Linked DNA regions of Danio rerio. The protein of the gene in region 1 interacts with the protein of each later gene in a biochemical or structural test. Links are inferred from orthologs where the notes say so. Each region holds a gene or a part of one and is shown on either strand. Other genes may lie near its edges.

Region 1 (3,657 bases):
CTGTTTGAATGCGAAAACATAAAATTCTCCAAACTTGCTTACGATTCAATTTCATATTAGGAGTCACGAATAAAAGTAAAAAACAACTCTATCTTAGTTTCATTTCTAAACGTTCTAATCCCACGAAATCTGCAGAAAGTCACGTCTGGTCCAAGACCCTCCCACGGAGAATTGTCAGTCTACATCGATCGATGATTGGCTCCTGTACTAAAAGGCGGGGCTTCATTCACCATATTGATCGTTACACTTTCTCCCATTCAAAACTATACGAGTGACACTTCTTGGGTATTCTAGAGCCTTTGTTAGTGTTAAAACAGTCTAATTGACACTGGAATAAATGAGTTTTTGAGGCTATTCCACTAGCATCAACAAGCTTTTCCCTTTATTTAAAGTGTAGAGTCTGACATCCCATTCACACGGGGCTTCAGTGTCAACGCTTGACAAGGGGGAAGGTCTGAAGTTGGGGCAGACGCGATCGTCATAGCAGCATCGGCCAATGAAATTAGTCAGCAATTGGCTACTGTCTGAGGTGGTGTATTTGCATACAGCGATCTGATTGGCTGATGCTTCTGTCGGCGCTTGAAAAGTTGAGCAAGTCCCAACTTCTGCAGCGAGTAACGCCTCTGAAGCGGCAACCGACGGATCCACAATGCAGTTTGGCAACGCCTGACGTCATCCATTCAAAGTGAATGGGAAGCGTTGAAGCTGGCGCCCTGTGTGAATGGGGCGTCAGTGCTGGTTTTCAGTCCTATAAGTTTCATAGCATTTCAGACAATTTTAAACATATTTAATTTCAAATTTACAGAAAGATTACATTATAATCCATAACTGATAACACTCTCAAATACAGACTGGTAAAAAAAAGAATACACGATTTTCTTAACACCACAATCTATGCAAAACATTAAGCCTTTAGTGGAGTTTTTCCCCTCAGATCCAATTTGCATGAGTGTCCTATGTGAGAGACGAATCTATGCGCACACCTAAATACTTACATGATTGCACCTGAATAATTTTCTGATTATGTACAAACACTGGCATGTGATTGACATTCATGCATGCTAATTTAGCTTGTGTTGTTTTTGCTTCTCACCGATGCGGAAGTCAATGTAACCCTCGCCTCCGCTGAGCACCAGCACATTCTGAAGACTCTGTGCTTCTGTTTCTGCCGGGGCCGAGGACCCCTGAGACTCTGATGGGCTGTCCAATACGCTGCCGTTCAGTGTGGCCAACACATTGCCTGAAAAACACACAACATCAGATCGTTTATGACTGACCAAATTATTTCCAGAAGAACTATATCATGCATATCATGGCGGGGGGGGGATTTTACTTTCCGTTAGCAAAGGCAAGCAAAAACATGATGAAAATGTGCTAAATCAATCGCTGTAAATATATGCTAGCAGAGTGTTAAATTATGCCAGAAAATTGCTACAATATTTCTGATAGTGTAAAATAATACAAGAAAAACACTACGACAACATGCTGTCAGAAGGCTAATTCAATGTAGCACTGTACAAGAAATCAACATGCTAAAAACGTGCTAAATTGTGCTTGAAAAATGCTAGCGGTATGTTAAATAATGCTAGAAATGTAATCTTATCAAAGTGCTAAAACATTAACAGTATTAAATCATGTTTGGTACATGTTTACAATACACTACTACAGCATGTTAGTAATATTAATCGTGCTAAGTCATTCTAGAAACGTAATGTTATTAAAGTGCTAAACAATAACAGTTTTAAATAATGTTAATGTTTACAATATACTGCTACAGCATGCTAGCAGTGTTAAATGTGTGCCAATTGTGCTATAGAAACATGTTAGCACTTGTTAAATCATGCTAGAAACTTAATGTTATCAAAGTGCTAAACATTAACAGTGCTCAATCATGTTAGTTACATATAATGTAATGTAAGGTGTATTTATATAGCACATTTATTGTGTATAAGCACTTTACAATCATAAGGGGGGGGGGGGGGGGGGGGGGGGGCGGTCTCTCCACACCACCACCAGTGTGCAGCCTCTACTTGGATGATGCGACGGCAGCCACAGGACAACAACGCCAGTGCGCTCACCACACACCAGCTATTGGAGGAGTGGAGAGACAGTGATAGAGCTGATTCAGTGGATAGGGATGATTGGGAGGGCTGATTAAGGGCTCCTGCTCTTTACGAAAAAAAGGATTTTAAATGACCACAGAGAGTCAGGACCTCGGTTTAACATCTCATCCGAAAGATGGCGCCCACTGACAGTATAATGTCCCCTTCACATGTTAACAATATACTAGTACAGCATGCTAGAAGTGTTAAACGTGTGTTAAGTCATGCTAGAAACACGCTAGCAGTGTGCTAAATCATGCTAGAAACATGTTATCGAATTGTTAAAACTAACAAACTTTAAACATTTTACTTACATGTTAACAATATACTACTAAAGCATGCTAGCAGTGTTAAATGTGTGCTGGGTCATGCTAGTAACATGTTAGCAGTGTGCTAAGTCATGCTAGAAACATGTTAAGAGCAGATTAACATCATTAGTTTTGTAGTTATACTAGAAATGTACTAAAACAGGCTTTAAACGTGCTAAGTCATGCTAGAACCATGTTAGCAGTAGCTAATTCTTGTTACCAATATACTTCTACAACTACAGCATGCTAGCATTGTTAAATGTGTGCTAAATCATGCTAGAAACATGTTAGCAGTTGCTAAATCATTCTATGCTAGAATTCTATTCTATGCTAGAATGATGCTATCAAAGTGGTTAAACACTGTTAAATAATGTTAGTTACATGTTACCAATATACTACTACAGCATGCTAGCAGTGCTAAATGTGTCATGCTAGAAACACATCAACATGCTAGAAACATGAAGGTAACATGCTAAAATGCTAACAATTCATGCTAGAAACATAACGTCAACAGATTAAGTTATACTAAATAGTTTTTTTCTGTATTACTATTATTACTATTACTGCAATTTACTTAGATTAAATAAGGACATAACTGACACTAACCTGGCACTGACACAAAGAACTTGACTGCATCTCGATGTCCATGGAAACAGAGTTGCGCCTGTGCCATGGAGCAGTATGGGATGAAGCTGCTCTTCTCTGAGGTGCTATCATCTGCATATACATGGATCACGCCTCCTGATGATGTAGGCGACACCTTATTGGCTGCAACAGAGCAGAATCCACCAATCAGAAAGCAGAATGTCTAGAAACTCACTGGGATTGTGAGCATGCAAATTAATACATGAATCTGGTGCAGAAGAAAACAAAGAGCTCACAGCATGCACACTAAAGAAACCAAAGGAACATGACCACAGCATTTGAAATAAATGAAATGAAGATAAACTGATGTTATATGAGATAAGCACAGACGGAAAATTCATTCATAAAGCATAAAACCAACAACAATAATAGTTCATGGAACTATCGTATACATTAAAAGAAGACCTAGGTGTTCATCGAAATCTTCGTTTCTCTTTGTTTTTGGAAAAAAAAAGAGTTTAACGGTTACTGAATTTCGTTTAGTGAAAGAGATTTATCAGACAAATATGTGTGGATTTACGTTTACAGATTTATATTTTCATTCTTGTTGAAAAACTGGTACAAGTTTGAGTAAATAGTAAATATCTGTTTTATTTTACGAA
Region 2 (3,657 bases), on another chromosome or scaffold:
CTTTTAAATTACCTATTCCCTTACTGAATAGAACAGACAATGGAGAATAAAAAGAAGATTAAGTATGGTTAATCAAAAGAATGGCCAGAGAGGAAAAGTTTGCAGAACTATTCAGAGGAGTAGTGTGTGGTTTAATTTATCAGATGAGGGTTTCACAGACCTCTGGAGGATCATGATGGAATTGCATGCAGTTATTACTAGAACAGAATAATGCATTGTACAATACAAGTTAAAAGTGTGGAAACATTAATGTTTAAAAAAAGTCTCTTCTGCATGCAAAGGCCAGATTTATTCGATCAAAAACACAAGTAAAAAAAAAATTGCTAAAACAGCACTCAGATTGAGATATTAGTTGTATACTGTGTGTTTTAAAATGTACTTTATTTGTCTGATGCAAAGCTTAATTTTAAGCATCATTGCTCCAGGCTTCTGTGTCATATTATGCTTCAATATTCATCTAAATATGTTCCTTTAAATAATTTTTCAAAAAAGTTATTTAGGGTATTAATGTATTTATAAAGGAAATTAAAAATGAAAACATCATCTGCTTCACAGTTTGGGGACAATTTTATTTCACTTTAATAAACAAGTTGAAAACAGTTACTCTAAATGTAAAAAAAAATAAAATAAAATAAAAATTCAGTTTTTAAATTTTTTTTTAAAGTTTTTATTGTATTTTTGATCAAATAAATGCAGATGAATATATATTTGAAGAGCATATTTGAAAAACTAAAACATAAAACTGACATTTAAAAATAGCATTGCAAAAAATGCAAGCTTAACTGCTTATTTTTCAGGTTTTAGAATTAAGTGGATACGATCAGTGCCCTGGAATATGACGCTCCCTTTAACCATTTCGCCCATGATGCAGCCTACAGACCAGATATCCACTGCAAAAAGACAATCAAATATTAATAACACAATTCCATTTCAATATCTTCATTGGCTCTGAAGGGCATTACCGCCAAAAAAAAAAACAGCATTACCGTTCTCCTTGTATTTCATGCCCAGGATGACCTCTGGCGCTCTGTAGTATCTGGTCACTACGTAAGGTGTCATCATAAAATTAGTGCAGGCGGTTCTGGCCAGTCCAAAGTCTAAGATCTTTAAAGTGCAGTCGGACTTCACCACTATATTACTGGGCTTCAGATCCTGAATAGCAAAGAGAATGCAATCCCATACTGTCATGCTGAAAGACAATCTCACACATTAACACAATGAAAGGTCTCAGTAGTTTAAAATTCACTTATTAAATCAAATTATTAGACTTTATTAGGAAATTTGGGGTTCTCTCCTTGAATATATGGAATTGTGTACTCTCTGGATGATATATATTTTTACATTCTTTCCTACTGTGACAGCTCATGTGACCAGGCTTTTAATTTTAGGTTTAAACAATTGTTCTGGTTGGCATTATTTATTTATTTATTTATTTTTATTTTTACAGTTCTAAGACATAAATAGATTTAGGGGTCAATGATTGTTACAATCATTTTGGATCACTTACCTCTACATGTTAAAATCAAGCAGCAACCTCCTGCTCTCCCTCGTGAAGCAAATACGGAAGTAACTGAAACTGCAATTCATCGAAATTCCGCTATCCCTGGCTCTATGTGGAGCAAATTTCTTTTTGAGCCCACTGTTACAATGGCCAACTTTACCGGGAAAAAAAGGTGTTTACAGCCTGGTACAAAAAACAGTTTTGGTTCATATAGCTGATATTACCCTTCATAACAACTGAGTTTTTTTTTTTTTATCTCATCGGTTTCATTTATTTTAAGTTATATTAAGTTTGCATAATTAAGGGTGTGGCCATTTGAGTGACAGCTAGGTCTCGCTGGTCGCCATCACTCCACCTCAGCTGATTCCGACTGATTAGCTGCTAAACTCTGCATATACATAATATTTTTGTTTTGTTTTATGTGGCTTTGCAAAATCAGTTGCCTTTTGGAATTATTTCTTACAATTATTAGATGATATGGCATGCTGTGTGCACTTAATTGTGCTCACAAACCATTCACGTGGCCTCCATTTCCCAGGTGAGTAAAATTCTAAACGTATATACCATATCTATAAATGTATTTGTTTTATTTAAAATTATTTATCATTTATAATGTTCTTTAGACCTGTAATGCACTCCAGAATCTGACATATTGATTAACTGTAGGCTCCAAAATTAAGTTTACATTGTGAACATTTACTACACAAACCACTAACTTGTAAATCTGAACCATTGCAAGTTTTTTTCATGTCTCTCATGTTACTCTTAAGCCTGTTTCAATCTTCAAAACTGAAAATAATTTTACCGGTGTATAGCCTATGGTTTATGGGTTAGTGTTTTTAGAATAATGCCTTAGAGCTATGAATTTTTCAGAAAAAAAAATGTAGACATGGCCAAGACGATCTGCTGATCTGCCGTTCAAACAGAGCAACAAAATGGGGAAGAAAGGCGAGTTAAGTGACTTTGAACATGGCTGGTCTGAGTATTTCAGAAACTGCTGATCTACTGGGATGTTCACGCACAACCATCTCTAGGGTTTACAGGGAATGATCAGAGAAAATATCCAATGAGCGGCAGTTCTGTGAGCGCAAATGCCTTGTTGATGTCAGAGGTGAGAGGAGAATGGCCAGACTGGTTTAAGCAGATAGACAGGCAACAGTAACTCAAATAACCACTTGTTACAACCGAGGTATGCAGAGGAGTAAATCTGAACGCACAACACGTCGAACCTTGAGGTGGATGGGCTACAGCAGCAGAAGACCACACCAGTTGCCACTTCTTTCAGCTAAGAACAGGAAACTGAGACTACAATTCCCACATGCTCAACAAAATTGGACAATAGGGTATATGCCAAGCTAGTGCTGTTCCCATGCTGATACACTTCCGGTGACCTGTTATTAAGAACTTTCCATAATTTCCATTTTATACGGTTCCTTTTACAGCATCGATGTTGTAATGTCATTAAAATACATTCATTTAAATATACTTTAGCATTTATTTGGTTGCTCAAGCAAAACGAGACAAAAAGCTGTTTACTCGCACGCACCCGTCAGAATCGGCAGGCTAACGCAGAAGCTCCATTGAATATACTGGGGTAAAATAAATGCTCATATTATAACGATATGGCTGGGGAAATGTAATTTAATGCAGTGCTTCTTGTACAATCTGAGACCCACTTTAAATCGGATATCACTCAGTCAGTGAAGATCGCTCATTTTTAAAGAAAACAGACCTTAAACGCACCGGATTTTGCATTGGCATTCAATTCGCCGGAAGCGCTTAACCCAGGTTATTGGCAAATTAAAAGTCCTATTAGCATGCTTCGGCATATACCCCATAGAAGATTGGAAAAACATTGCTTGGTCTGATGAGTCTCGATTTCTGCTGCAACATTCGAATGGTAGAATCAGAATTTGGCATCAACAACATGAGTTCACTGTACTCAAATGACCTCCACAGTCACAAGATCAAAATCCAATAGAGCACATTTGGGATGTGGTGGAACGTGAGATTCGCATCAAAAATTTGCAGCTGACAAATCTGCAGCAACTGTGTGATGCTATCATGTCAATATGGACCAATATCTCTGAGAATTATTTCCAGTACTTTGTTGAATCTATGCCATAAAGAGTTAAGACATTTCTGAAGGTAAAAGG
Region 3 (4,376 bases), on another chromosome or scaffold:
AGCTATTCTATATAGAAAAAAACATTGATATCCAGGATAAACATACATGCAAACTATGGGTGCAGTGTTTTGTGTCACTTACAAGGCAGTACTCAATTCGCGAGTGAATCGCGACTGAATCGTTCATTTGAACCGATTCTTTTAATTTAAAGGAAGATTATACAGGAAAGAACTTTAAGGTAGGAATGAATTAAAAGTAATAAAGGTACAACATTATGGACGTTTTTGTCATCTCTAATTCGAGCATGCTTGAAAATAATTTGGATTTAATGATTAATATTTCCAGTTTAATAACCATCTGTAATAATGCACACAAGTATGCATATATTTCAGCAAAGATTAAAAGAATCGCATATGCATTCATTTACTATTTAAATGACAAATGTTAAATGATTTGGAGTAATGTAATGTTTTAGAAGCTCAAAATCGAAGCATAAAACATTTGTGCAGTTTGTTGCAAAATGGACTGCACTGAAGAAAAGAGTAAACCAATTAAAGCAAAATAAAATTGACTGAACTGGACAAAGAGTTCCTATATCAAAGACAAATAATGTCAAATAAGAAATTTAAAAAGCCCCTCAGGCTTTCCTTGCCTATTTTTATTTATTTATTTATTTATTTATTTATTTATTTATTTATTTATTTATTTATTTATTCATTCATTCATTCATTCATTCATTCATTCATTTAGTTATTTTTTTGAAGGTGGAAATCTGACATATGTTTCTTTGTTGCTTTAATAATCTGTGCATTTAGTTTAATGCAATGGCACATTGTGACTCTAAAACACATCTCTGTTAAAATGAGCCAATTACTGCAGGCTTTGGCAAAGTCCAAGGTACTGCTGTATGGACGTTGTCAGTTTTTCTAATTCGAGCATGCTCGAAAATAGTTTGGATTAAATGGTTATATTTACAGTATAATAACCATAACATATGAGTATGTTAGCCTACTTTCCATTGATTTATAACTGCTGCATACAATTGAACTCTAATTTTTGTCTTTTTTTCGTGTGTTTCTCTGTTTGTTCATTTATTTAAAAGTGCAATGTGTGCCAGAGCAAAAAAAACTAAAATTTGACCAAAATTAATCGTTTGAGAATATCATACTGTTTAATTCACTCGTTCTGATCTTGCTTTTACAATTTTCACAATTTTAAGCATATCCAGATAACAACACGCTAGATTCGATTTTAGTTATACTTTTTAATAGCCGCCCCCTAAGTCTCCTGTGAGGCGATTCATTCTAACTGATTCTTCGAACGAACCGATCGCTTCAAAAGAATCGCCTCGCTCTGTCTCTCTGCCCGCCTCCAAACACGCAGTCGGCGGTCATGTGCGCAAAGATCCGCCAATCTCCAGATGCGCGATCAGAGCGCCGCTCCTTTCCATCTCCTCCTCACTCCTATGAGACCGCTCTCGTCTTTGACGTCATCGTGTGCTCCCTCCCGTTGCCAGGCAACCCGTCTCCCGCACCCCCCACTCTCTCCTCCTCCTCCTCCCGTTTTGCCATCACTACGCTGGTAGGATCCATAATGGTACAGGCATCATCCTGCAGCACAATGGTGAGCGCGCAGTGATTCAGCATCGCAAACTCAGGCTTTAATCCAGCGTTAGACTTTCTTTTCATCTGTTTGATACAGTGGTTTTTAAAAGATTCGCCTGCCGGGATGTTTTGAACAGGACTGGACTGTCACCGGACCGGGATCATCGGACGGGCAGCTGGCACGGAATGGTAGGTCGGTCGGTCGGTGGGGAGATGTTGATGCGGGAACCTGAAGGGTGGGGTGATGAATATTGATCGAAATGAAGGTTAATGAAGTCGATGCTTTCGCGGCTTAGCCAAATAAATGATCCGTCACGAAGGTCGAACGATGTCCGAAATGGCAGGATTTCTCCGGTGTTTACCAGATCTGAGCGAGTGCGAGCGCACGTCCATCCGTGTTTTTCCTGCATCACTCGCGGTCCTGCATCATCATATGTCCTGTTTTCAGGGACCGCAGGCCTTTGTTAGAATATGGATTGATGGAATCTGGAGTCACAACAATGACGTGATTACGCAAAAGTCGATTCATTTACATGCGTTTCGGATGTTTGATTCCAATATTATATCATGTTGCATTTCAAAAAATGCAGAATTGCTAGTAAAATACTTTATATGGTATATTTTCACAATATGTCTCGCATTTGATGTTTTTAAGATGACTGAAGTGTATAGGTGCTGGAGTCTGAGATGGGCCATATGGTAATTTGTTTATTTATTTATTTAGTTCACGTTGGAAGCCTGAATAACAGGAAGCAGGGTTAAAACACACCTCATTTTGACACAGTTTGATCAAATTTGAAGTTTATTCCCAATTATGGTTGGATAACCACTATTTAGGAACAACAATTAAATATTAAATGCATGAAATGAAACATTAAAACATGTTTAGATGTTTTTAGATGTGTGATGCATGATGGAGCATTTTTTATAATAAATATTTTTGGTTTCCATTTTGAGATATCAAGAAATATTGAGTGAACATCACAGGATGTAATGATTTTTATGCACTCTAGTGCATAATGTTTCATAAGACTGCATGGAATAATAACTTCAAAATTTATTAAAATTCCAAAAGGGCATTTATATAAATGTTTTGATGCAGAAGTGGCTATGTTTGTTTATACATTACATTACATTAATATATTGACTTGAAGTTATTTATATTATGTATTGTGAGCTGAAATAAAATACATTTGCCTTTTTGAAAATTTCGTAAGATACAATATGACATTTTATTCTCAATGAAGCAATATTGGAATTAATAGGATATTAATAATCATATTTATTTTCAATCAATAGTTCTAGCATTTGATGCTTTATGCTGCAATTGATGCATATTTGAGTTCATGCTGGGGTCTAAGATGTTGAATATTTATTTTATCTTATTTTATATTTTTAGGAAGGCTACCATAGAGGTGTAAATCTATTAAAGTGTCATAAAGCAGTAAACATTTTACATATGAAGAGTTTAGATGCAAAAACCTCTAAGTGCCGTCTGAAATTTCCATTGAAAATAAACATTTTTCTCAGCTTCCTTTGTTAATGTTGAGTTAGTTCTCTTCAAAGACCATAAAAGAGAATTATTCTTTGCCATAAAAGTGATACTACTAAACATACACACAGGAGCCTGATAAAAATCATTTTAGAGGAAAATTTCAGACGGCATTTAGAGGTTTTTGCTACTAAACTCTTCATTTTATCAACTGAGTGCTTCACACTATGGAACAATCTTTCCATTTGGTATTTTGGACTATTTCGGTTTCCACTTTATGCGTTATATGTTATGCTTTTTATTAAACTATGTGGAATAATTCAAAAGTGCATGTACTGTACATGTATTTTTACTTTTTTACTCTGTGCCAAATATATATTATATATATATTTTTATATATTTGGTACAGAGTAAAAGTGGCTATGCATTAATTTACTGATTAAATGACAAAAGCAAAATGATTTGGAGCAATGTACTGTTTAATAAGTTTAAAAAAGAAGCATAAAACATTTGTGCAGTTTGTTGCAAAACCGATTGCATTTGTGAGAACAGTAAACTAATTAAAGCAAAAGGAATACACAAAGAGTTCCATTATCAAAGATTCATGTCAGATCTATAAAAAAAGCCACTCAGGCTTTCCTTGCCTATTTTTTAAAGCTGGAAATTTGACATATGCTGAAATATTTCTTGGTGCTTTAATAATCTGTGCTTTTGTTTTAATGCAATGGCACATTGTGGTATCCTCTGTTAAAATGAGCCAATTACTGCAGGCTTTGGCAAAGCGCTATGCATATTCTAAGGGACGGCCATGGACTAATCATCCGTAGCCCCCCCAAAAAACAACCCCATATGGCTAATTAGGCTGTTCCATTGTGTCTGTATATTGTTAAATCCCACAACACTGGGTACCCTGGTTATATTCGCCTCACGCTTCAGTGTCAGAGGTTGCGGCGATCATCTGAACTCTCGTATTCTCCAGGTACGCTGACATTTTGATTAGGATTAAGAGAGTGATTTTGTGAGGGAACTGCTGAAGGACAAAGCCTTGAGAAGCCGGTATTTTGTCTCCATGTGGCTTGAACGGTTCAGCAAACAATTCTTCTCTGTCAATGTTTTTTCAAGGACTTGACTCTTTTACCTCAATAGTTTATTGTAATGAATAGTATCTTGACCAATGTAGTCCACTACATTACTGTTATCTATATTTATTAGCTGGCTTGTTTGCTTAGTAAGTTATTCATATTGGATCAGTATCCTTCTCTCTATTTGCCCAGCCCCATTTAAAATATGTGTCTTAGGCCAGTGTTTCCCAACCCTGTTCCTGAAGGCACACCAGCAT

Evidence for each region.
Region 2: the proteins of mapk8ip3 (region 1) and mapk9 form a complex in vitro, tested with the Homo sapiens proteins (2 studies listed by BioGRID). The link is inferred for Danio rerio from reciprocal best matches to the Homo sapiens genes MAPK8IP3 and MAPK9.
Region 3: the proteins of mapk8ip3 (region 1) and mapk10 form a complex in vitro, tested with the Homo sapiens proteins (3 studies listed by BioGRID, with this or other methods). The link is inferred for Danio rerio from reciprocal best matches to the Homo sapiens genes MAPK8IP3 and MAPK10.

The regions. Positions count from the first base shown.
Region 1 is NC_133178.1:14,655,086-14,658,742, reverse strand, and holds part of mapk8ip3 (C-Jun-amino-terminal kinase-interacting protein 3), read right to left. Parts: intron 3,179-3,657; coding exon 3,017-3,178; intron 1,241-3,016; coding exon 1,094-1,240; intron 1-1,093.
Region 2 is NC_133196.1:35,030,296-35,033,952, forward strand, and holds part of mapk9 (mitogen-activated protein kinase 9), read right to left. Parts: intron 1,153-3,657; coding exon 987-1,152; intron 891-986; coding exon 819-890; intron 1-818. UniProt on the Homo sapiens protein: Serine/threonine-protein kinase involved in various processes such as cell proliferation, differentiation, migration, transformation and programmed cell death.
Region 3 is NC_133196.1:10,935,653-10,940,028, forward strand, and holds the start of mapk10 (mitogen-activated protein kinase 10), read left to right. Parts: upstream 1-1,521; 5' UTR 1,522-1,731; coding exon of another isoform or gene 1,732-1,734; intron 1,735-4,376. UniProt on the Homo sapiens protein: Serine/threonine-protein kinase involved in various processes such as neuronal proliferation, differentiation, migration and programmed cell death.